7 linked regions of the Kluyveromyces lactis genome follow. The protein of the gene in region 2 purifies or fractionates together with the protein of the main gene of each other region. This does not show direct contact. Links are inferred from orthologs where the notes say so. Each region holds a gene or a part of one and is shown on either strand. Other genes may lie near its edges. The genes, in order: TAF5, TAF7, TAF12, TAF13, TAF6, TAF3 and TAF8.

The links.
Region 1: the proteins of TAF7 (region 2) and TAF5 purify together in Saccharomyces cerevisiae (affinity purification with mass spectrometry; 6 studies listed by BioGRID, with this or other methods). This does not show direct contact. The link is inferred for Kluyveromyces lactis from reciprocal best matches to the Saccharomyces cerevisiae genes TAF7 and TAF5.
Region 3: the proteins of TAF7 (region 2) and TAF12 purify together in Saccharomyces cerevisiae (affinity purification with mass spectrometry; 5 studies listed by BioGRID). This does not show direct contact. The link is inferred for Kluyveromyces lactis from reciprocal best matches to the Saccharomyces cerevisiae genes TAF7 and TAF12.
Region 4: the proteins of TAF7 (region 2) and TAF13 purify together in Saccharomyces cerevisiae (affinity purification with mass spectrometry; 6 studies listed by BioGRID). This does not show direct contact. The link is inferred for Kluyveromyces lactis from reciprocal best matches to the Saccharomyces cerevisiae genes TAF7 and TAF13.
Region 5: the proteins of TAF7 (region 2) and TAF6 purify together in Saccharomyces cerevisiae (affinity purification with mass spectrometry; 6 studies listed by BioGRID). This does not show direct contact. The link is inferred for Kluyveromyces lactis from reciprocal best matches to the Saccharomyces cerevisiae genes TAF7 and TAF6.
Region 6: the proteins of TAF7 (region 2) and TAF3 purify together in Saccharomyces cerevisiae (affinity purification with mass spectrometry; 5 studies listed by BioGRID, with this or other methods). This does not show direct contact. The link is inferred for Kluyveromyces lactis from reciprocal best matches to the Saccharomyces cerevisiae genes TAF7 and TAF3.
Region 7: the proteins of TAF7 (region 2) and TAF8 purify together in Saccharomyces cerevisiae (affinity purification with mass spectrometry; 4 studies listed by BioGRID). This does not show direct contact. The link is inferred for Kluyveromyces lactis from reciprocal best matches to the Saccharomyces cerevisiae genes TAF7 and TAF8.

The regions. Positions count from the first base shown.
Region 1 is NC_006041.1:2,087,361-2,091,315, forward strand, and holds TAF5 (chromatin modification protein), read left to right. Parts: upstream 1-1,155; coding exon 1,156-3,636; downstream 3,637-3,955. Other genes in the region: GPI2 (phosphatidylinositol N-acetylglucosaminyltransferase), read right to left, coding at 3,824-3,955. UniProt on the Saccharomyces cerevisiae protein: Functions as a component of both the DNA-binding general transcription initiation factor complex TFIID and the transcription coactivator SAGA complex.
Region 2 is NC_006038.1:736,647-740,674, forward strand, and holds TAF7 (TATA-binding protein-associated factor TAF7), read left to right. Parts: upstream 1-1,320; coding exon 1,321-3,528; downstream 3,529-4,028. Other genes in the region: MTF1 (RNA polymerase specificity factor), read right to left, coding at 1-844.
Region 3 is NC_006040.1:1,375,453-1,378,964, forward strand, and holds TAF12 (Taf12p), read left to right. Parts: upstream 1-1,476; coding exon 1,477-3,012; downstream 3,013-3,512. Other genes in the region: APC2 (anaphase promoting complex subunit 2), read right to left, coding at 1-86; NEDD8 ligase DCN1, read left to right, coding at 201-338, 428-1,195; snoRNA-binding rRNA-processing protein DIP2, read left to right, coding at 3,432-3,512. UniProt on the Saccharomyces cerevisiae protein: Functions as a component of both the DNA-binding general transcription initiation factor complex TFIID and the transcription coactivator SAGA complex.
Region 4 is NC_006040.1:863,411-865,842, forward strand, and holds TAF13 (Taf13p), read left to right. Parts: upstream 1-1,452; coding exon 1,453-1,932; downstream 1,933-2,432. Other genes in the region: ARG81 (Arg81p), read right to left, coding at 1-886; ERO1 (ER oxidoreductin), read right to left, coding at 2,270-2,432. UniProt on the Saccharomyces cerevisiae protein: Functions as a component of the DNA-binding general transcription factor complex TFIID. Binding of TFIID to a promoter (with or without TATA element) is the initial step in pre-initiation complex (PIC) formation.
Region 5 is NC_006042.1:979,141-982,473, forward strand, and holds TAF6 (TATA-binding protein-associated factor TAF6), read left to right. Parts: upstream 1-1,282; coding exon 1,283-2,833; downstream 2,834-3,333. Other genes in the region: ARC40 (Arc40p), read left to right, coding at 1-464; DAD3 (Dad3p), read right to left, coding at 655-912; SLD3 (Sld3p), read right to left, coding at 2,874-3,333.
Region 6 is NC_006042.1:2,524,125-2,526,946, reverse strand, and holds TAF3 (Taf3p), read left to right. Parts: upstream 1-1,272; coding exon 1,273-2,322; downstream 2,323-2,822. Other genes in the region: RET3 (coatomer subunit zeta), read right to left, coding at 45-614; mRNA-binding protein RRP12, read right to left, coding at 2,515-2,822. UniProt on the Saccharomyces cerevisiae protein: Functions as a component of the DNA-binding general transcription factor complex TFIID. Binding of TFIID to a promoter (with or without TATA element) is the initial step in pre-initiation complex (PIC) formation.
Region 7 is NC_006040.1:143,440-146,992, forward strand, and holds TAF8 (Taf8p), read right to left. Parts: upstream 2,190-3,553; coding exon 501-2,189; downstream 1-500. Other genes in the region: FCP1 (protein serine/threonine phosphatase), read right to left, coding at 1-179; SCS7 (fatty acid alpha-hydroxylase), read right to left, coding at 2,905-3,553. UniProt on the Saccharomyces cerevisiae protein: Functions as a component of the DNA-binding general transcription factor complex TFIID. Binding of TFIID to a promoter (with or without TATA element) is the initial step in pre-initiation complex (PIC) formation.

The sequences.
Region 1 (3,955 bases), on a different chromosome or scaffold from region 2:
TGCACTAGAAACAAACGCTTTTTTGGCAAATCTAAATCGACGTACAATAGGAAAGATTATCCTACTCACAGACCTACTGATTCACTCACGCAGTGACTCAACGGCGTATGGCTTTTCTATAGAAGAAGCAGCTGGCGTTTTAGAACGGTTTGCTAGTGTATCTGATGGGCCTTGCGATGAGATGGAGCAACGTTTGACGATGGAAAGACAAGTATCAGAACTGAGAAGAAGGCGAATTCCTTTAATTTTCCAACTTTCGTGCTTGAATTCTTGTTTTTTTTCCCAACTTCACCGTTTCATTGCTGTTCAACTTCGTCTCCTGACATTAGTGGAACCCCAATGGGATTATTTTTACATGAACCGGGTAACGAAATAGTAAAATAAGGGCAACGTGACTTATAATTTCTGTTATATTACAGACGCGGCACGCATTACCTCCAATTGCCACGTCAAATGAAGGTACCCCCGTAGTATGTACATTGGTAACTGGCATCCCGCAAAATAAGCATCCCTTCTTTGGAAGTTGAAAAACACGAATCCAGATCCAATTACTGGACTCCTACCCCTGGATGGAAAAACGAAAAGGAAGTCATTTGTGGGGGGTATGGCTTTGGCATCGTGAAATAGGGATCTTCATTTACCCACCCAAGGCCACTGCAAAATTCCCGACCCTTTAAAGCCTCTCCCCACTGTTTCTCTGTACACATATATTTTATACTGGGTTCTCTAGATATGTAGCTTAACTGCGTTCTGCGAGTAAAAATTAAAATAAAGTTCGAATCGAAGTCTAAAAACGTGCTGTGGACTCCGGGGCTGTTCAACCTGTTACCCGGAGATGTACTGAAAAGATAATTCTTGAATCCGTAAAACGTGACCTTTAATTCAGATCTCTAAATGCCAGTTACTTTGTGTCTGAGAGTAGTTTCCAGGTTGAAAGTTGAATATGGAAAAAAATAAAACTGAAAAATGTGAATGAATAAGTAAACAAATAAACAGCAAATGATTGCTAAATCATTGCCTTAGCAAGCTTGAACTATACCAGTACTTGAGCTTAGGAGTAAGCTGAATAAGGAACTAGGTATACTTGCTTAGCCTTTTAAAAAAAAAAAGCGTGAAAGAGAAGAACCTCTTAGCACAGTTTCCGGCTTGCTTAATATGTCTTCGAACGGCAAACAACAGGGAAACAAGGCAGGCGATGCAGCTGGGGGAGCGTCAGGAGCCACGGCTCCCGGTGCAGGCGGAAGTAGTGGCAATGGAAATAGTAGTGCGGCCGGAAATGCTAGCGCTAATGCCAATGCTGGCGGTAGCGGTGCCAGTGGGAATGCACCGGCAGCTTCTAAACCGGGGTTTTCAGCGTCAGATTTGAACCGCATCGTTTTGGAATATTTGAATAAGAAGGGGTATCACAGAACGGAACAGATGCTTCGTGCTGAATCGTCACGTACTTTGACGCCTCCAAATAAAAACGCTGCTGCTTCTAACACAATCCCTGCCTCGTCTGCATCAGCCACTGCGATTACAGGAAGTACTACCACTGCAAAACCTGTTTCAAATCCTTCGATGCCCTTGAAAAGAGATAACAACGGCCAATTGATAAAACCGCAACAGGTGACACCCTTGCACTATTTTAGAGCTTACTCAATGTTGAAAAATTGGATCGATTCGTCTTTAGAATTGTACAAACCTGAGCTATCACGTATCATATACCCGATTTTCATTTACGTTTTTTTACAGTTGGTCATCAAGGACCCCTTACAAGCGAGAAGATTCTTTGACAAGTATTCTGTCGATTACAAAGCCCTTCATGGATCAGAAATTAACCGATTATTCAGTGTCAACTCAGTAGATCACATCAAGGAAAATGAGTTGGCTCAAGGTTTCCAAACCAATAAATATAAGATCACAATCTCAAGAACTACTTTGAACCTTTTGTTGTATTTCTTGAACGAAAACGAAAGTGTGGGAGGATCTTTGTTGATTTCCATCATAAACCAAAACTTGGATCCAAATATCGTAGATGTTGTCAAATCTGAGGATATTCTCACCGACGGGATCAAAGATATCTCAACCGGTGATATTGATGTTGATACGTATAACTCGGTACCTGTGAAGTTAGGACCGTATCCAAAGGACGAAGAGTTCACCAAGGAAGTAGAGATTGAGTTGCAGAAAAAAGATGAACAAGAGGCAGCTGAGAATAAGGATAAACCTGTCGGTAAGACATTAGTTGAGGAATATAGAGAAATGAACGGTAATCAGAACAAACCAGAGGGCACTGAAAAAGCTGATGATAACACCGTTAAGGAAGAAAATGAAAATAAGGAACCTGAAGCTGAAGAGGGTGGAGAAGAAGTCGATGCAACAGCAGATACAGAAGAGAAAGGCACTCCTACACTTAGTGTCGAATCATCGGCTGCTGAAAGAAAGAAAAGAGACTCAAAGAATAAAGACGAGGAAGAAAAACCAGAGGCTTCAATTGGATCTATGATGGAATCACCAGCAAAGGATTCGTTGCCGCTACCGGTAAAAACAACTTTAGATCTAAAGATGGAAATTCAAAAAGTAAGGGAGAGTAGAGATTCCATCCAATTGAAAAACCTACAAACTTCTGCACCAAGTGTGTGTATGTACACTTTCCACAACACTAATGGTAATATGACTTGCGTAGAATTTAGTGATGATGCTAGACTAACTGCAGCTGGTTTCCAAGACAGTACAATTAAGGTATGGTACCTTGATGGATCACCGCTACAGTCGATCCTCCCATCCAAAGCTAAAGACCAATCGAACTCTGCTACTTTGGTAGGACACAGCGGACCAGTTTATTCCGTTGCATTCAGCCCGGATAACAGGTACTTACTTAGCGCATCTGAAGATAAAACTGTCAGACTTTGGTCTTTAGATACGTTCACTTGCCTAGTGTGTTACAAAGGCCATAACCATCCAGTATGGTACGTCAAGTTTTCTCCACTTGGCCATTATTTCATCACCGCTTCACATGATCAAACGGCTAGACTATGGTCTTGTGATCATATCTATCCGTTGAGAATTTTCTCAGGTCATCTAAATGACGTGGATTGTAGCACTTTCCATCCAAATGGTTGCTATGTTTTCACTGGTTCCAGCGACAAAACGTGCCGTATGTGGGATATTCAAACAGGTGATTCTGTTAGACTGTTTTTGGGACATACATCACCAGTCACCGCACTTGAAGTATCGCCTGACGGTAGGTGGTTAACTACGGGCAGTGAGGATGGCACAATTATCGTATGGGATATTGGTACTGGTAAAAGAATCAAACAGATGAAGGGTCACGGTAAGAATCCTATCTATTCCATAACTTTTAACAAAGAAGGTAACTGTCTAGTAACAGGTGGTGCGGATCAAAGTGTTAGAGTTTGGGATATAAAGAGGTTTACAAACGAGCCTGGAATGGAGCCGGAACAACAATTCAACACGTATTCAGGAGATATGGAACTCAGTGTAAATAACGATATCAAAGAATTCGGACGTAGGCGGGCAGTAATACCAACTCAGGATTTGATGGCTTCGTTCCATACAAAGAAAACAGCAATTCACAAAGTAAAATTCACAAGAACGAACCTAGTTTTGGCTGGTGGTGCATTTATTGAGTAAATGCGATTACTTTACTCAGCCAGATAAGGGTCGTTTATTCGACATATCTAGTAGTTGTCCAATTGTAATAAATAAAAAAAAAGAGAATGCGCTTTATCTTTATATTATTTACAATGAGTACGTATATTTTATGTGCATTGATATCAATGCAGTCAATGAAATGTAAATGTTAACAGAATCCTAATAACTAATCTAATATTGGTTTTTCAGCGTCCCACTGCTGTAAAATCGGATGTCCTTTATAATAGTAGCTTTCCCAGTGGATATAGTAATGAGGGATTCCAAATAATAGTAACAAAGATGATATTCCCAAAGGTAT
Region 2 (4,028 bases):
GCCCCAAAATTTCAATCATCTCTTCTACTGGTTTGGATTTAAGGATCATTAACTTTTGCGTTACGAAATCCCAATGGTCCAAATCTATGCTGTGATCCCTAGGGTTGATTTCAACAAGTGAAAGATCGTCTGGACTTTTATTATCTGAGGGAATTATCACGGGATCAAACTTCTCTATGCAATCTGGAAGGAACTTTTTTACTGAGTTTTCAGAAGTCGCAACGAGCTTTGTATTAGTAGCTAATTCGGATAGAAGAGTAAGCCTGTTTCTGTCTTTGTTTGAAAATGGTGCGAATAATTTCCTTGCAGTTTGCTGAGGTATCCAAACTAACATCTTGACCAGACCAAATCTTTGCATCCAATTCTGGTTCGCTATACACTGCAAATATTGCACGTATAGCTGTTCACCCTTTTTATTGGTCAAATTGGCAGCGATCAAGAATTCATTGTGAATATGATCTCTTTTCTGCATGCTAGGAGTAAGGACTCTGTCTTCATTTGTCATTTCTAAAAATGTCTCCCATTTATATGGATTTTTATTGTAATTAACCATCGATGGGTGATCCTTCAAAGTTGCTTGATACAACTCCACAAATTTCAATCGATCCTCTAACAGGACATGCTTCTTTGGTTTCAGTCTTTCATTAAGTATGACTGATTGAATCAAAGGCCCGGCGTATATATCCAGTATTTGTAAGCTTTCAGACTTGTAGTATGATTCTAAATTCAACTTGTCTAATATTTGGTTTATTACCTTGGGGTTTTTCTCAAATTGACTTCCATAACTGGTATGAATCTTATTTGCTAGTGGTAGAACCGACTTCAGAAACGAACTCTTGGTCATGATTAGGAAAAATTCTGTAGTGTATTTGACAATAGAGAACGGATATTGTATATTGGAGCACAGAACTCATATAGAAGGTGCCAGTTCCATCCAATGAGTGCAGATCTGCTGTGACTTGTTTACAACTTTCATCTGGACAAAATGAAGCGATGAGTTGAAATATGAGCTTTTCCATTTTTCAATTCGGAATTTTATAGTGATGATGACGCTGGTGTTATAAAGACACCTAGGATAGTTGCGAACTATAAGCTATGATCATCAGAAGTTTCAAACTATTTTAAGTAGTTACTCCCTGATAGTATACAGTAGTACTTTAACATGACTTGCAATGCATTAAGCCAAATTCAGCGTTAGTCTGGACGTTTCCACGTGATCAAAACTCGCTTCAAATTACATAATGGAGGAAATCGTGAAATTGGAAATAATGTTCGACGGAAAATGTTTAGCTATCTAGATGTACAGTGAAAGTAAAATGAATGGTTGACCCAATTGGTGTGACACATACGACAAGGGGTCTCTCAAAAGACAGTAAACATTCAGTTTTAGTACAGTATCCCACAATGGGTCCGATAATCAGAATTAACAAACCCAAGGAGCCTGAATCAGGCGGTGGAACGGAACCTAAACTAAAAAAGATCAAGTTAAAGACTGGAGGAAGCAGTTCCAGCAGCAATAATTCCAAGCCTGCACCAAAGCTTAAAATCAAACTGAAAAAGCGTGATAATCAAGAGGATAAAGATATCAGCAATAATAATAATGTGGGCACTTCGAAGGGAAGCTCGCGGCCCATGAAGTTAAAAATCAATCTAAAAAAACGGGAAGATTCACATCCACAATTAGTGCCGCACTCCCAATCGCATCAGCAGCAGCAGCAGCGCAAAAGTACGAGTGTTGTCAAGACTCCTAAGTTCAGAATCAAACCTGTACGAGTTCCCGGTGAAGGGTACGATTCTGAGGCCAGTGATGTAGAGGATGATCCGCTAATCGAGGAAGGTATAATTCTAAGAGTATTACCAGATTTGAGTGCAGAATTCGTTAAAAACTCTATAGAGAGTGGTGATTACTCTGATGTCAGTATCAAATGGAAGGGTGAGAGACACGCGGTTGTGAAAGTGAATGGGGTGCAATATGGTGCTGTATTAGTCAACTTGCCAAGTATAATCGAAGTTAACAAGAGTGTTGACAGAAAGAACTTATTGAAGACGTTTGACGTTAGTCAGATGTTAATATGTGTTCGTACAGTGAATAAGGAAGAAGAAGTGTTTTCTTTGCAAGTAAGCGATACGGAAGATCTTACTAAGAAACATTTTGAAGAGTATCAGAAGGAAATTACCGAGCAACGGAAACAGCAACTCAGAGGGTACAATGGCGGCCCATTGACTGATGCTGAAAGTAAAAACATCGAACAAATCATAAACAAGCGTTACGATTATAAGCATGGTATCACCCCTCCTTTGTATAATGCTCGCAACCGTCGCTTCAGACATAGGATGGGACCAACTGCCTTTGATTATGTGGAACGTACTGTTGAAAAATTATTGAAATTAGATGCTGAAGCTGAAGAGTTCGGGTACGAGCTAGTTAATGAGGATGCAATTCAACAGCAAAGGTCTACAAGTGCAGCAGATCTTGCACATTATCAAAAGGCTGGTGAGCATATGGATGAAACATCTTCTGTTGGCTACAGCCAAGAGATCAAACCACATCATGTTACAGGTGCCGCGGAAGAAGATGAGGAAGAGGATCATGAAGAAGATCTTGAATTGGAATTGGAACAAGCTCTACAAACAGAAACTACTGATGGTTCTATACCGGCAAGCATGGTTAATGGACCGGCTGGAGCAGCGATGTCTACAGATACTGGCAGTGTTGTAAGACCAGGACAACTTCTTGAGGAGACCGGTGATGACGTTGAACAAGATAACGGTGATGATGAAGACGAAGAGGAGGAGGACGAAGAGGAAGAAGAGGAGGAAGAAGAGGATGAAGAAGAGGAGGATGAAGAGAACGGTGCTGATGGATTATCCGGATCAGTTACAACAGGAACAACTAAGTCACGTGTCTCAGACAACGATGGTGCTAACGAAGAAGAGCAACACAGAGAATTATTACTTGATGAATTGAGGGAACTAGAAAGTACGTTAGAATTAAACCGGAATAAAGCCAGTAGGACTACGAATCCGTTGTTAAAGACAAGATTCTTAGAAAGTATCAAGAAGCTTGAGAAAGAAGTTGAATTGAAACGAAAACAGTTAGGAGAACCAGTTGTTGTAGACGATGCAGGAAATGTACAGACAGCTCAAGACATCTCAGAAAACGTACCCGATACTGAAGCCGGTGCAGTATCGAACAAGGCCGCAATCAGAAATGGCAGCGTTAGTAGCGGTGGTAGTGGCGTAACCGGATCGGCATCAATTCCAAACAATGCTACGATTACCAATGGAGTGGAAAACATTGGTACCGAAGGGAATCTTTATGAGGAGGAGGATGAACTAGAAGAAGAGGAAGAAGAGGAGGAGGAGGAAGAGGAGGGAGAAGAAGAGGAAGAAGAAGAGGAAGAGGAACAGGAAGAGCAACGGCCGGACGAAGAACCGCAACAAGGACAAGAAGCAAGACAAGGTACTGAAGAACTTGATCAAGATGACATGGATATGATGCTTCTTTTCGGAGCGGATAACGATTAGGTTTGAACTGAGAGAAAAGAAACCACTAAAAGAAAAACAAAAACAGAAAAAAAATCAATACCCGAAGAGACAATAAGAGATACGTGATGATTTAGCATGTTATCTGAGTTTGGAATAGCATTACAGCTTCCCATGCTCTACAAGGGTGAACGATATGACTGAATGCCTGAACGAATGCGTGAATGAGTTGTGTAATCTGAATGTATAACTGAATTTATCTAGAAGCATTTTTTTTTTTTTTAAATTCTTTAAAGGGAAGTAGAAACAAGAATCAAGACAGGCAAGGAAGTAATGGATGGAGATCAATGGGAAACACGGGGCAACAACAAGAGGAAAATTACGAATGCGAACCTCTTCTCGTTTGCCGAAGCCTCTTGACGACGGCACACAAAGGGAAAGAGGCAGCAGGTGTTAAGAGGCACCTCACTTCGCCGTTTCTTTTTACTGCCTACAGAGCGGCTGAAAGAAAAAGGCCCTGCCATGTACATCTCAAAAAGGTG
Region 3 (3,512 bases), on a different chromosome or scaffold from region 2:
ATATCTACCTCTTCTTCTAAATTCGAAGCTAGGTTAAGTAGAATTTTCTCATGAAGTAATTTAAGTTCGTCATCAGTCTTAGTCATTCGGTCAACGGTGCTGGGTCCCTTTAGTCCTGCTTCTCATCACTTTTCACTATGACCATTACGTTTGTTGACATATTTTAAATATACAGACAAGTTCATTTTAAGTGAAATTACATGTTTTACTTCATATTCGTTTCGAGTTTTAGGGTAAAGAAGAAAGCAATCTACTCGCGACAAAACGCCAGAGCAAGCGATCATTTACTCGTGGATAACAACCCTTCAGAAATTTCATCGTATTGTGTTTTTATAATGGTATGTTTTTTACTATGCCTCTACCCTCTGGTCAGGTGAATGACACCTTTACTAACAAATGCTAATCAAATAATCATTTGGAAAAATAGGAGAAAGAGTTCATGAACCTCACAGGATGCACGTACTCTGTTGCACAGGAATACCTTCGAAAGAATGGAGGGCGTGTCGAGTACGCTTTGAACGATTATTATGATAATGTGGATACCATTGGAGGTATGCGTCAATCTTACAATCCCAGTTTAGTGGCTATCTTTGAGAAGTACTCGAATGGCGTTTCGGCAACAGAATGGGACTCTTCTGGGCTAATACGGTTTATTGAAGACCTCGGTATATCGATAGAGGACCCAATCACGCTATGTCTTTCTCAAATGCTATGCATCGACGATTTAACAAAACCAGTATCTCGAGAACAATTCCTAAATGCCTGGTCAGATTTATGTTGCGACACTTTAAGAAAGATGAAAGCCTATTTACATACGCTAGAAGAGAGACTGGAGACGGACAAAGATTATTTCAAATCAATCTATTCCTACACTTTCCCATTGAATACAGACGAGGGATCTCGTCATTTACCTAAAGATGTCGCAATAGAATACTGGAATATTTTCTTTAAAGACAATAAATATGCGTTGAAAATCTCCAAGGAGAGACTTAATTCATGGCTTGAATTCATCAATTCTGACGACTCGGATCCAAGGAAACAGAACATCTCAAACGATATATGGTTGATGTTCTATAAGTTCATTGAACAATACCCCAATGACGAAAGTTTAAAACAAAACTATGATGAAATGGCTGCTTGGCCGCTACTTATAGACGAATATTACGAATTCTTGGAAGAAAATGACAAGCTGTGATGCAGCGCAAACACCTATATCGCTTATGAACATATTCATAGATACATATATTCATATATACGCATTGTGTATGTTGTCAGGGTAACACTTGTCTTCCTATTCCTTTCAGCATCAAAATTCAAAAATATTTCAAAGATCAACAAGTGAATAACAATCGAAAGTAGTTGCCGCGAGGTTAAAGCAAGGGCAAAACGGGGGCAAAGAAGGCCAGCACGAGGGTATTTCGACACTTAAAGTGGGCTTGCGGTGTGCATTTCGGATTACGAACCAAGATACGGACAATGTCAGGCCAAGCAGGTAATGTACAGCTGCAGAACCTCACGCCAGCTTCTATGCAGCAATTGGCGGATAGACTAAAATCGTTAGTTAACGAAGCTAAGCGAATTGGTGTAGATACCAAGGAAGGGAAAGAGCTATTGAGACAAGCGGCCCGTATTAAGGCTTTGTACGAGGCTTACAGTAAACAGAGGCAGCAGCAGGCCCAAGCGCAGGCTGGAGCACAGGGAGCTGTAAATAATAATGCCACGAATGTTAAATCCATGGATCAGCAGCAACAGCAGCAGCAACAGCAGCAGCAACAACAAGCTACCGCCAGTTCCAATAATGTGACGAATAACATAAAGGTCTTATTAACTCCTCAACAGCGTGAAGCTTACAATAGATTGGTTCAAAAGTATGAGGATGACGGTCAGAATATCAAGGGAGAATTCAACTTTTTGAAGAGAAATATTAGTGTTTTGGACCAAGAGATCAGGAATAGACGAGGTAACAGTCTATCGGTGCAGCAATTAGAGGTTAACAGGAATGAATTATTAATGAAAATCAGGGCATTGAGTGCCCAGTATTCGACATTACAACAGAAATATCAAGAGGACAGAAGAAAGTTTTACATTGAGTGTTCTCAAACTAATGCTGACTTAAGAAGATATCTACAAGCACAGCAACAAAAAGCTAATGCTGCTAAGTCACAGGGTACAGTAGCTGCAAATGCAGGTACACCGGGACCTCAGGCTGGTGTTTCTACTCCAGGAACCAACACCGGTACACCAATTCCAACAAGTTTGAATAAAGCTTCGAGTGGTAGTCCTCCAAATGCTATGGCGCAAAGACAAAATATACCAATTCAAAAGACCGCTGCAACTACTGCAACTGCAACAAACGCAAACCCGAGCTCAGCAGCTGCCGCACCAAATAACACAGCTTCTGACAAATCGTCCCCAATGCAGGTGACAACGGTGAATGCAGCTGCAAATCAAACAGCACAAAGCAATACAAGACCACCAATCTTCAAGCAACCAAACCCATCGATACCAATAAGTGAAAATGTCACCGCATCCCCAACAGTTTCAGTGTCATACAGAAGCAACAGACCTACGATAACAGGCGGTAGTGGTATGAACGCGCCAGCGCTAACTACACCTGTTATGACCAAACTACCGCCATATGAGGTCGATACTGAGCGTGTGATGTCTAAAAGAAAGCTCCGTGAACTCGTCAAAACGGTGGGTATAGACGAAGGTGATGGTGAAACCACCATTGATGGTGATGTGGAAGAGCTATTACTCGATCTAGCAGACGATTTCATTACTAATGTTACGAATTTCGCCTGTAAATTGGCAAAACATAGAAAATCCGATTCACTCGACGTAAGAGACATCCAAATGCATCTGGAACGTAATTGGAATATCAGAATCCCAGGGTTTGCCAACGATGAAATCCGTAGCACCAAGAAATGGAATCCAACCCCTTCGTACAATCAAATGGTAAATGCAATCAATAACAATAAAACTGCACGTACACATCCCGAAAAGAAGTGAAATGGATAAATTACCACTGTTTAAACAAGTTCATTCATTCAAACAGACTTAATTTGATGCATATATTATACATCATATATCATATATCTATTAATGTAACAATTCCTCAAAATATTGAAAATGGAGAAGTGGATGAGTACCTACAACAATGCATAATCAAGTCCAGGGAAACTGATTCTTAATACTCTTTGTCCTATTCTGCCTGTCTCATATATGTATAAACCACCCTTTTCTTTTTCATGGCTTCAAGTTGTATTTTTCAAAATTTTCCAAAACGTTAAAAACTATGGAAGGTCATCTCATCTCATCGCATAATGCTGTTCAAGAACAAGTATAACAAAACTTATATACTATAACCCTGTGTAAGATATCAGTTATTGCTACTATTATCCGCAGTGTGGAGTTTAAATTGATACACAATGGTTAAATCGTATCAACGTTTTGAACAAAGTGGTCTTTTTGGGTTAATTTCTACTTCAAATCAGTCGATCTATCTTCCA
Region 4 (2,432 bases), on a different chromosome or scaffold from region 2:
GGAAGAGGAGCCGATAGACTCTAGCCAATTCGTCTTCATTATCGTTTCCAGATGTGCGACCGTCATTACAATTACCATTAACACTACCATTCTTTTTCCCCATATTATCTACTGTGAGAGGAGTTTGTGGCGTATCCGGTGTATTATTCTGACGAATACCCATAAATGGTATTGTTTCCCCTTGCACTGCGGACGCCGATAGTAATGCATCGTCCCGTAGTTCATTTGAGATCCACTCGTTCCCAGGAAACAACAAAGAATTCATATCGAATTCGAATAGGGAATGAAGCTGCTGCGCAGATGTATGATCATCATTAGCAGATGATGATTCCATATCTTCTGGAGTGCATAAATTTGTGCCCTCTTTCGAATCTGAATCAGCAGTTTTAACCTTATTTTTCTTATTAGCTAGTTTCTTCTGAGCTTTTTCGATGGCATTAATGAAAACTTGATTCTTCTTACGTTTCTTCCGTGGCACGTACCTTTTTTTGACCTTATCTGTGCCTTTGAACACACCAAATTTCTTTATAATCCAAGTCTTGTCTTCAGAGATGAGCTCTAAAGGAGGAGAGCTTAACGCTGATAATTCATCGTCCATATCCTCATAATACACATATTCCTCTTTGTACCGAACGAAATCAACGTTTCTTCTCTGATACTGAGGCTCATCTGGATCTTTGATTCCTGTAGGTGTTGCGGTCACATTACCCATAGTGTCAAACTGAATTGGCCGGGTCCACCGAAGTTTTACATCGTATCCTCCACATATTAACCCACCTTTCTCACATCGCTCACATCCGGGCCGCCGAAGATCACACTTTACTTTCCTTGATCTACATGTCCAGCATCCCGTGAACGTCTTCACTCTGGGCTTCGCAGGCTTCATTCCTGCTTGTATCCTCTTTGACTCACAGTCGCTGTGAAGGAAAAATAGCCTCCAATATTTACCAAACCTTCAATATCAACCACACGCAGATGAGCGTCTAAATGATGCCACTGTTGGAACAATAATATCTACTAAAACCTTATCTTGAGCGGTACTAATCGGTTTATTATCATTGCTCTGTTTATCTGATCCTCAGAAGATGCGATGTGGATCTGTCATGTCCTTTCCTCTGTTCGTCTTTTCTCAAAATTTTCACACAAGCGGAAGGGTTAGGCGATTTGTCAATTTCTTTCTCGCTAAAAAGCTCCCTATATAGCTTAACTGTTGGATGGACTGCGCATGATATTTGGGGACAAAAAAACGCAAGCGATTTTTTGCTGCGAAAAAAAAAAAAGCAAACTCGCACTATTCTTCGCTGTGTTTAAGTTGACAGTTTGACATAAAACTCAGAACCAGAATCAAAATCACGAAACAATGATCAAGCTATACAGTTTAGCTTATAGCGCATTCGTCCATTCCATGGAGTAGAGCTGACTAGTCGGTTGGAGTTCTAGATCAACACAGGAATGTCCAGAAGAATTCGTAAAACAAGTCTTTTCAGTAAAGATGTTGGCTCTTTGATGTATGCGTTTGGTGATGTCGCGCAACCTTTACCAGAGACCATTCAATGTGTAGACGAATTGGTGGTGTCTTATTTGAGCGATATATGTGCCAATGCGTACTACTCGGCTCAAACCGTGAAGAGGAATAAGATTAAAGTGGAAGATTTCAGATTTGTACTTCGAAAGGACGAGGTGAAATTAGGTAGAGCTGAAGAGTTGATTAAGATGAATAAAGTTATTACCGATGCCAGGAAACAATTTGATAATTCAGAGGGGAAATCTTTGAAACGAGTGAAAGATGACGGTGATGATGACCACATTTCGGCTGATGAAGATGAGGAGACGACAACGGTTCCTGAACCCGTTCCTACCTCACGTCCGGTAGGCAGACCAAGGAAAAAGGGAAATGAACCTCCTAAGAAGAAGAAACGGGAAACAAGCTGAGAGTTACATTCGCATTACCCCTAGCATATCTGTACTTGAAATCCTTCTCTTGCTGGGCAAAAGAAGTGAAAAAACAAAGCAATCCTCATATAAATTCTATCATTATAGTATTACGCCTTTCTGAACAAAATGCCATATTTATGCATACTTAGCGGCAACATATACGTTTATTTTTTCTATTAGCTATATATTAACCAAATGAATAGCTTATGAGAGGGTATTATTTGAACATAATCACCTTTATCTTCATAATTGGAATTTTCAGCTGGTTCTCCTGTAGTTCTTAATATCTATAAACAAATTGTCATATAAAATGACAATTTGAGAGGTTTTTAATCTATTCTTCGTAGTTGTAGGATGGATATTCAAGCTCCTCTCCTTCTTCGAGATAGTTTGGAACACCAATAAACTTGTTCCAGAGTTTATTGAGCTTTAGTACAGTGTACTTACTAACAGTGGAAGGTAGGTCCGTATAACTTGTTACGATAAACCGCAACGCT
Region 5 (3,333 bases), on a different chromosome or scaffold from region 2:
CTTCCATCGATAAGGTCGCATTTGTCACCCACGATGGTTCCTTGAATATCACTGATTACACTGACGATATTAAGAGTGTAGACAACCCAGAAGGTCTTCCATTCATCACCTTATGTTGGATCAATGATCATGAAATTTTAGCAGCTGGTTTCTCAAATCATCCTGTTTTGTACAGCGAAGGTTCAAGGGGTTGGGAAGTGTCCAAGATTTTGGATAGCCCAGTTAAGAGTGCTGGCAAATTGGTAGCATCAACTGGGGATGATGAAGAAGAAGGTGCCTTCGGTATGTCCGCATTGAGAAAGTTCAAGGAATTGGATTTGAAGGGTAAAGTTAGCCAGCAAGAAGAGAAATCTACCCATGTGAACTCAATTACAGAATTGGCTGCTTACAAGGAATCTAACAACAACGTCACTCAAGTTTCTTCTGTTGGTTTGGATGGTAAACTTGTTATATACAAGTTGTAGATATGGACGGTAAACGATTCATCTCTTCATCAAATAGTTGATCAGATCACCCCTATAACTCTTACGTTCAGAGTGAGAATACAATAAAAAAGAGTGGCCTTAGAAATGAAATATGTATATCTATGTTCATATATATTAAAATGTAATGTTACAACTCTGATTATGATTACAATAATCAGTCCGATTCCGCTCATAGATCTGAAGGTTTTTGTTGGTGATCCATCCGTCGCTGTATCACGAGTGAATATACGCTACCTTTGAGAAGCGTACTTACAAGAGATATTTTCACTTCAATTTCTCGCATCTCTTGTAAAATTGCTTCCGGTTTTGAGTCCTCATGGGTGTTGTTTAGATCTGAAAGTGTTTCGCTCAATTCCCTTAAGGACTCCGCTAGGAAGCGATATTTATCGAGCACACTTCGCTGCAATGGTGTCAGTTCCGAAGACATATTCAAAACACAAATAGTATGTTTCTTTGTAATTTGTACGTAAGCCCAAACCAGTAATGGTTACCTTTGTTGCCTTACCTTACATATTCAATTGGAACTCTATCCGGTAAACTTATGATAACGTTATTTCATTTTTGGTATTTTCCAATATTGACGAAAAACATAAACGATCGAATCCTGAAAGAATAACAACTCCATCCTTCAAAGTAAGGAATACAAAGCCAACGATTTGAATACAACACCAGCGCTCCTCTATTGCACGAACATCCACTCGAAAACTCTAGTTTCAGGTGTATACACTGAAACAGCGATAAATTTTATTCGAGTAAACGGTATTCTTTTCTTTATTCATTTGTGTTCAATTTCAATAATGTCACAGCAGTCCTCTCAGCAACAATCTTATACAATTTGGTCCCCGCATGATACGGTGAAGGATGTGGCAGATTCACTCGGAATCTCAAATACAAATGATGACGTGTTGAGGTCATTGGCGATGGATGTCGAGTACCGTATTTTGGAAATCGTGGAACAAGCGGTGAAATTTAAGAGACACAGTAAGCGATCTACTTTGACTACAAGCGATGTTGCGAAAGCTTTACGTGTCCTTAACGTCGAGCCATTGTATGGATTCGAGGAAGGATCAGCGAAAAATGAGCCCGTTAAGTTCAATAAGTTGGAGGGCGCTAATGGGCAGACGCTTTATTACCTAGATGATGAGGAGATCGATTTTGAAAAATTGATCAATACTCCATTACCAGAAGTTCCAAGATTACCAACGTTCACGGCGCATTGGCTAGCGGTAGAAGGAATTCAACCTGCCATTCCACAAAATCCAAATATCAATGAACTAAGGCTGAGTCAAGTTCCGTTGCAAAGAGGAGCAATAGTCTCACCATTAAACGAAACTTCTGTTCAAACCTCTTTACAAACAAATGTCAATGAAGAAAGACAGGCCACCGCAAATGGACCTATCTCGACACAAGTGAAACCAGGTGCAGCAAGTGAAGCTAAGCCATTGGTCAAACACGTTTTGTCTAAAGAATTACAGATATATTTCGAAAAAGTTGCTAGTGCACTTACATCGAAGGAAGAAGATATCAATTCACAACGGATGAGAGCAGCAGCTTTAACTTCGTTGAAGTCTGACACAGGACTACATCAGCTTGTTCCATATTTCATACAGTTTATCGCAGAGCAGATTACTCACCATTTAGAGGATTTGGAGTTGTTAACTACAATGTTGGAAATGATATATTCGTTATTGAGTAATCAATCAGTATTTTTGGATCCTTACATTCATTCTCTAATGCCTTCTATCTTAACACTACTATTAGCGAAGAGACTTGGTGGTAATGGCTCGAAAAACTCATCTGACGACAAGATTGTTGACCAGCAAAATAAAAAAGAGTTTTTAGAGAAGACTAATGCTGTCCGTGATTTTGCTAGCTCTTTACTCGATCACGTCTTGAAAAAGTTCCCAAAGGTTCACAAATCGTTGAAACCTCGTGTTACTAGAACTTTACTTAAGACATTCTTGGATATCAATAGATCATTCGGTACTTACTATGGTTGTGTACGTGGTGTTTCTGTCCTCGGTAACGAAACAATAAGATTCTTTTTAGGCAATTTACAAAACTGGTCGAAACTAGTTTTCGAGGAATATGACAGAAGCCAATCGGAAGACAGCAAGAGCGGAAAGAACCTAACTGACTTGGAGATAAAATTATTGTCAACAGTGATAGTGTCCACTTTAGAGAACTTGAAATCTGATCTTCCATCTTCATACAACCCTTCTGGTGATTTTAGTGAGGAGGACAAAACTCGTTTGAGAGAAAGATGCGGAATTACTGTCGGCAACGTAATACTGGAAAGAGACGATGCAAAGACTCTATACGATGCTATATTTTTTGGTGAGCTTTAGACATCAAATATGTAAATATTGTAACGAATATACGTATTAACTACGGCGCAAATAATCTCCTACGGACGTGCCTGGTTTTAACCTTTACTGGCGATGCCCTAACTGGTGTTTCTGAAACAACTGAAGGGGAAGCCACCAACACTGGGGTGTCCTTCTTTTCCTCTATAGGTTTGATCGGAGTTGCTGTAACATGTATATCCTGCTGTTTATCATCAAATCCGGTTTCTGAGATATAGCTAGCAAGTTTACGTTTACCAACTCGTTGGAAAGAGTTATTATGAGATTGAGAGATATTGATAGCTTTTCCGTTTACCAAAACAGTTCTAACAGTGCTGAACTCCTCCAATATTTGTTGTCTTTGCTTGACAATATCGTCTAAAGAAAGATCTTGCACAGACATTTGTCTTTTTTGAAGGCGATTCAGTTTCAAATCCGACGACGACCTTGACGCCATTTTGGGTTTCTTCTTTGTTGTTTCCTCCTCCAAAAACTCTACAAGG
Region 6 (2,822 bases), on a different chromosome or scaffold from region 2:
ATATGTGTCTGATTATAAAAGAAATCTGGAAAATGAGGAGAAGCTTACAAGCCCTGCTGTAATCTTTCAGCCAATTTACTCTTGGCAAAGCCCCACGCGCTTAGCAAACCCTTTTCATTCAATTCTATATTCAATGGGATATCCTTTGAAGGCGGTTTCGTCACTCTAGAGGCAATTGTGGCTGGATCAGTTTCTAAGATAATACCATCATCAATCAATTCATCAATTGCTAGAACCACCATGTCATAATGTTCCTGAACACTCCTCTTGTCAATACCTGTATCCAATATCAATTCTAGGGAATCTTTGAACCCGTTGAATGCTTCTTGCAAAACAATTTCGTTTTCGTCGATTGCACCGATCAGATATATCGAAACATCGACATATTCTCTGTAAATAACTAATAGATCGTCTGATATCATAATGTCTGAATTCTGCCCATGAGTTTTAGCAAATAGGTTAGATTCGAACTCTTTTTGCTTCTTTAAGCTGGATGCAAGAGAATCTGCAGAAATTTCTTCGTGTGGTGGATGGAAGTATTTCGAGTAAAGTCTTCTTCCTTCTCCATCCAAAATCAACACAGCTTTAACTGTGTATAGAGATAAGTTAACCATGTTGTTTATGTTTTTCTTCTTGGTTACTTCCAGGGTATGCTATTCGTGTTATTCAGTACTGATGCAATGGTTTACTGTCTCAGGAGGGAAGTGCTGGTTTGGCGGTACGCGAAAATTCCAAATTTGCAGTTGACAAGATATAGGACAAATAGGAACTGCGCTCGAGAGAGGCAGAATTCAGCTCTCAACCATTGCCCATTCCTGTAATTAGAATCAGTAGCCTTCTTTGGATGTCTTGTAAAGCTGTCCATGTAAAAAGCTCCATGGCAATGAAAGCCTGTTGATATCATTGAATACGGATTTATGCTCCAGTAACGCCAAACAGCAAGTGTTTGATCGAATCTCTTATCACGTGATTTGTTTCCGGGTAATGGAAAACACAGAAGGAACTTGTAACTTTTACTGTCTGATAAGTAGGTTAGCCATGCAAATACTATACATTAACGAAAACTGTCTATTGTGGGGTTCGTTCGATGCAGAATGCAACCAGTACTGAGCTTCGAGGACACTGATTGATTTACTAAGCAGTATTTACTTTGATTTATTTATCATAAGTTAAATACCGGCCAATTGCAAAGACTTTGCAGTATTTTGTATATTCTACGCTCTAAGCATTGAGCAAGCAAAGTGTTATTGCTTTACTCAGCTCCTCACAATTATGACCACTGATGAAAGTTTTTACTTTTCGCTGCTGCGAATTTCAATGATACACCTTTTAAGGGCACATGGCTTCGATAGAGCCAAAATGGGGACAGTTAATCTTTTTACTGATTTATATGTGAGATATCTAGAACTGATGATTCAAGAAATACGGAAACTTACTCTGGATCGCCGTGATTTAGATGAAGAAGTGTCCCTTCAAGATATTACCCAAGGAATGCTCAATATCGGCGTATTTAAACCAATGAACCTACTGGATGTTTACGATGAAAACCCGTCCGTGGCAGGCGATGAAGGTATGCAACAGTTTAAAAGATGGTTACTTCAAGATCCCGCAACAACAGAAGCACGAGTTATCAGTACCCCAAGTCCAGACCTGTTGAAAGTTGGTGATAAAACTAGTAAACCATTGTCAATGATTCCGGAGTATATCAACCAGCTGAATACATCGGACAAAAAGCCTAACGATGGAGATGATGAGACAGAATTGGTGGAAGCAATGATAAACAACGGGGATATGGATGACTGGATACAATTCATGTTGACATCACAAAAATTAGAACTTGCGAAGAGGAAGTCGGGGAAACTTCCTCAAGATCTCATTTCGTTACCGTCAATTCCTGGATTAAAATACTCTAAACTAAGCCGAAGTCGACCTATCATTACCAATTCATGCATTCCAGTTGGAATCGAAATTAACGAAGATGAAGAAGGAAAAGAGGAAAGTACTGAAGACGCAGCAGAGCAAATAGTTCTGAAAAGACTCATCTCAAAGTTACCTATCGGTAACCCAAATAACAAGTTAGAAAACATAGTTGTTTCATATGAAGATGAGAATATTGACGATTTACTTGAACCCCTCCATACGGAGGAAGATCAGCAAGACTACACCGATATTGATAAAACGGATTATGATTTTGAGACCTCTGGAACGGGAGGCTTAACTTTAGGCAATGTAGTTACCACAGAGTTAGACGAAATGGAGGACATGCAAAATACATTTGAAAGAAGGGCATCTTTGGATTTTGGACACGCATACGATATATAAATATAATTTGTTTAACACAAAATTAGTTCATGTTTACGACAAAACAATCGCACTCTCACTCGATTGTTTTCAAATCAATCACATGTAACAATCTTTTGGTTCCGATTTTGTCTATTCTACTATACATCTATATACAACTATCAAATTGATAAATGGGCTAGGGCGTTGCAGTGCATATCAGGTAAAAGTGATTTATAATCTCCTCTTGTTTTTAAATCTACCATTGGATTTTTTACCAATTCTTCCCTTTTCAGCTGGTTTTGTTTTTGGTAGCTTGGTTTCCTGTTCATCATCACTGAAATCATCCTCATTGCCAGCTCTGGATCCTTTTTTGAATTTTAGTCTGTTCTTTTGACCCTTTACTGGACCTTGTTTGACAGCATCTAAGTATGCATTAACACCACTGGTAATAGCCTCTAACGGATCTTCATTGTTATTTTCTCCTCTTCTCCTATCGTTTTTCATAACCAACTTACCTTCTGCATCAAAGCTGAACACTT
Region 7 (3,553 bases), on a different chromosome or scaffold from region 2:
ACCCGCTGCTTCTTAGTCTTCTCCTCATACTTCACCAGAACGTCCTGGAAATCCCAATACTCGTAAGCAAATAATCGTTGGCCTTTTTCAACGTGATCACCCGGTTTTACGTACAACTGCGCAACAGTGATGGGATATGGTAGGTCACTGGTCACCTTCACATTAGTTTCGAGTGACATCTTACCGCGCTTGGAATCCCGCTTGACAGCCCGTTCCCTTTCTTGCAACTCCGAAATTCATTGTTATGTCTTCACGTTGGCTTTTATTTAACAGAAATGTTTGTTATTTAAATTCAAATTCGATCGATAATGGATAAACAGATATGAAGAGAGAAGTAAACAGAACATACACAGCATGAAGTATTCTTGCATCGCGTGTATGAGTGGTGTTACATTGATTAGCATTAGGAGAATACAAACGTTACTGACTATACGAATTATGATGTACATAGTTTTGATTCATTAGCTAATATGACTACTTATAATGAAAGTCAAAATATATCAGAATAAATCATTCACGTTAGAATCGTGATCTTGTGATTGATTTTCTAGCAACTCGTCTGTGGCAACTCCCGGTGATGTATGAAGGGCTAATTCTGATTTAGCTTCTTCTGATCCTGCTTCTGGTGCATCTTCCGATATATCTTTCGGCGTCAGACCTGATGCGGATCCCGATGCGACTTCTGAAAGTAAAGGAGTCGAATTAGCGGGGGTAATTGACGGAAGTACATCTTCAAAAGTCTCTGTGCTTTCCATCGGTTTTTCTTCATCTGGTCCGTGCAACAGCTCAGAAGCCAACTCCCCCAGAGTTGAAATGTTAGTATCTGTTATTGCTTGTACCTCTGGCGGTCCCTGCGTCAGAAATTTTTCGTCGTCGTTTTCGTCATCATCTTCGCTGTCTTTGTCCCAGCCATGCAATAGGGGATCAGTTTGTAGGTTATTAAGATCAAGAATCTCTTGTTCGGCCATTTTCTTCTCCTTTTCTATTCTCCTTTGTTCTTGTAAAAGTCTCTCTCTTTCTTCTGCCTCTTTTCTCGCTCTTTCTCGTACTTCTTTGACTCTCGGTATGGAATCTATCAGCCCCAAGTAACTACGCCTTAGCATTGTTTTCAATTGATTTTCAACTGACTTCCTCGATTTGGTACTCCCTTGACCGTAGGGTGAACAGATCATGGCACCTCGTATGAATGGGTTACGTCTCTTATTCGATACTTGGTTTTCTGCCCTTTCAGCCCTTCGTTTTACTATTGCATCTCTCTTCTTACAGTATTCTAACACATTGAAATTCTTCACTGGCGAAAGATTGAATGACTCGATGCCATGAAGGACCGTTGTTGTACCCCATTCTTTATCTGTAGGTATGGTTTTATGAGGGTCAAAGATTAAATCGGTTTCTAACTGACTTTCTTTAATATGTTCAGAAAGGGCAGCATTGTTGGCAGACTGGTCGCTATCTTTATTTAGCGCTACCAGTGGGTCCTGATTGACAACTTGACTAAGCATATTCAACAATGCCTTTTCCGAAAGCCTTCCTTCTTCTAGTAACTTCTTCTTCATCAGCCTCTCATCTGTAATGGGTCTCTTGTACAACGAGGTAAATTTGTACGTATGATCAGGCGGTAGTTCTGGCAACCAACTGGGCACATATTTGTTAGATTTGTTGCTCGAAGGTAACAAATTTAATATATCAACATCTTGCACGAAGAACTCTGAATGTTTAGAACTCAAAAGCTCTTTTTCTTCCAATTCTTTCATGAACTGCTGTTTAACCTTTAGCACAGTTTCGTTCAAGGCATTAGCCTCGTCCTTGAATTTCCCATGTACAAAATTCGATATTTCCACTTGCCCATTCAAATCTTTCAGATCCATACCAATACCTTTAAAGTAGAGGTTCAAATCAAGCTTGGAGATCTTTGTCCTTCGCTGTACTTGAGTTATCTTCTTCAGACTTTGCAATAAATCATCTAACTGTAATAATGAAACATAACAAAGATCGTCAAACGCCAATTGAGATATAACCACATTCTTATTAAGTGTCTTCAATTGCAATAGTACGGCCTGTGCAAACAAGCGTTCCATCGGATTGGCATGAGGTACCTCATTTAGATTAGGTAACTTATCTAGTCGCACACGTCTCTGGTCAGTCTCTATCTTGGCATCGTTTTTATCTTTATCCTCAGAAGTCGTCATATTCAGTCTCAAAGAGCCAACTAGTACTTTAATATTGTATGAGTGCTTTACTATTCGGTCAGTTTCATACCCATAGGATGAAACTGATTGATTGCTTTAACCCTTAAGAGCTAAGCGTTTGGAGACGTCTCTCGCAATAACTTCAATGCTTCAACTCATTCATTCAGAGTTTTCGAATGGCATAACGTTCGGGTAATACCGTTATTATTTTCACGTGATTTGCGTGAACTGATGTTAATAACATCAAGAGTAGATAAAGTTACACGAGGTGGACGAAAACAACCCGGCGAACATGTTTAAAATAGTTGTGCTGAAGCAGTTGTATCAATTTATGTATTGGATGTATATGGAGTTAAAACAGAAGATAAAAAAAGATATTAATACTAATAACGATATCATAAGAATAGAACCTGTTCTTGGCAAAGACAATCAAAAGAGATGGATCACTGGTTTTGGAATTGAAATGGAAGATCTGGTGGAAATATATCCTCAGGTGGACATATATCGCTGACGTTTGTGGTATCCATCAAACTCTCTCGGGTTTTGTTACAGAGAGAAGGAAGGAGAGAGAAAGAAACAAGAGCGTTAATGCTGAAAAATGTGTAGACTGGGAGAGGAAGAGTTCCTATCGTCGTTAAAATGAGTTTAAAAATAATAATAGTGTGAATAACAATGATAGAAGGGTTGTGTGGGCACGTATAGTGAATTATTTAATTCAATCATACTTCATGTTGGATAATGGAGCGTTTTCACCAAGATAAGTACCGAACACTTTATCCCAGAACCAAGAGGTGACACCAAAACCTAACTCGTAATTCTTGTAATGATGCTCCAAATGGTATTTCTTCAATTTACGCATGTAAGGTGGTAATTGTGAATGGTGCAAGAAGTAATGTGTCAAATCGTAGCACACATAACCTAGCATACCACCAGCGAATCCAGCACAAGCCCAGTAGTATGGTAGTAGTGCAAACACTAGTTTGTAGAATGGTGTACAAAGCACAACGAACAAAGTAGGAGGCATAACCAATCTGAATCTGTCCATTGGTAAATAATGATGAACACCATGCAACAAGAAATGCAAGGTAAACGCCCATTGCTTCTCTGGAAGACGGTCATCCAGATGGAACAAAAATCTGTGCAATCCGTACTCGATTAAAGTCCACACGAATACACCGACGGCAAATAAGAAGATAGCAAAGGCCTGGTTCATGTTCATCAATGCAGTATAAATATGATATGTGACGACTGGTAACCAGACGACCGGAACCATCCACCAAGGCGTCTTGGAAAGGGGCTCTAAAAAGTTTCCAAATAGTGGAGCTGACCCCTTACCGTAGTGCCTAGGTCTGTGTACTTGATCT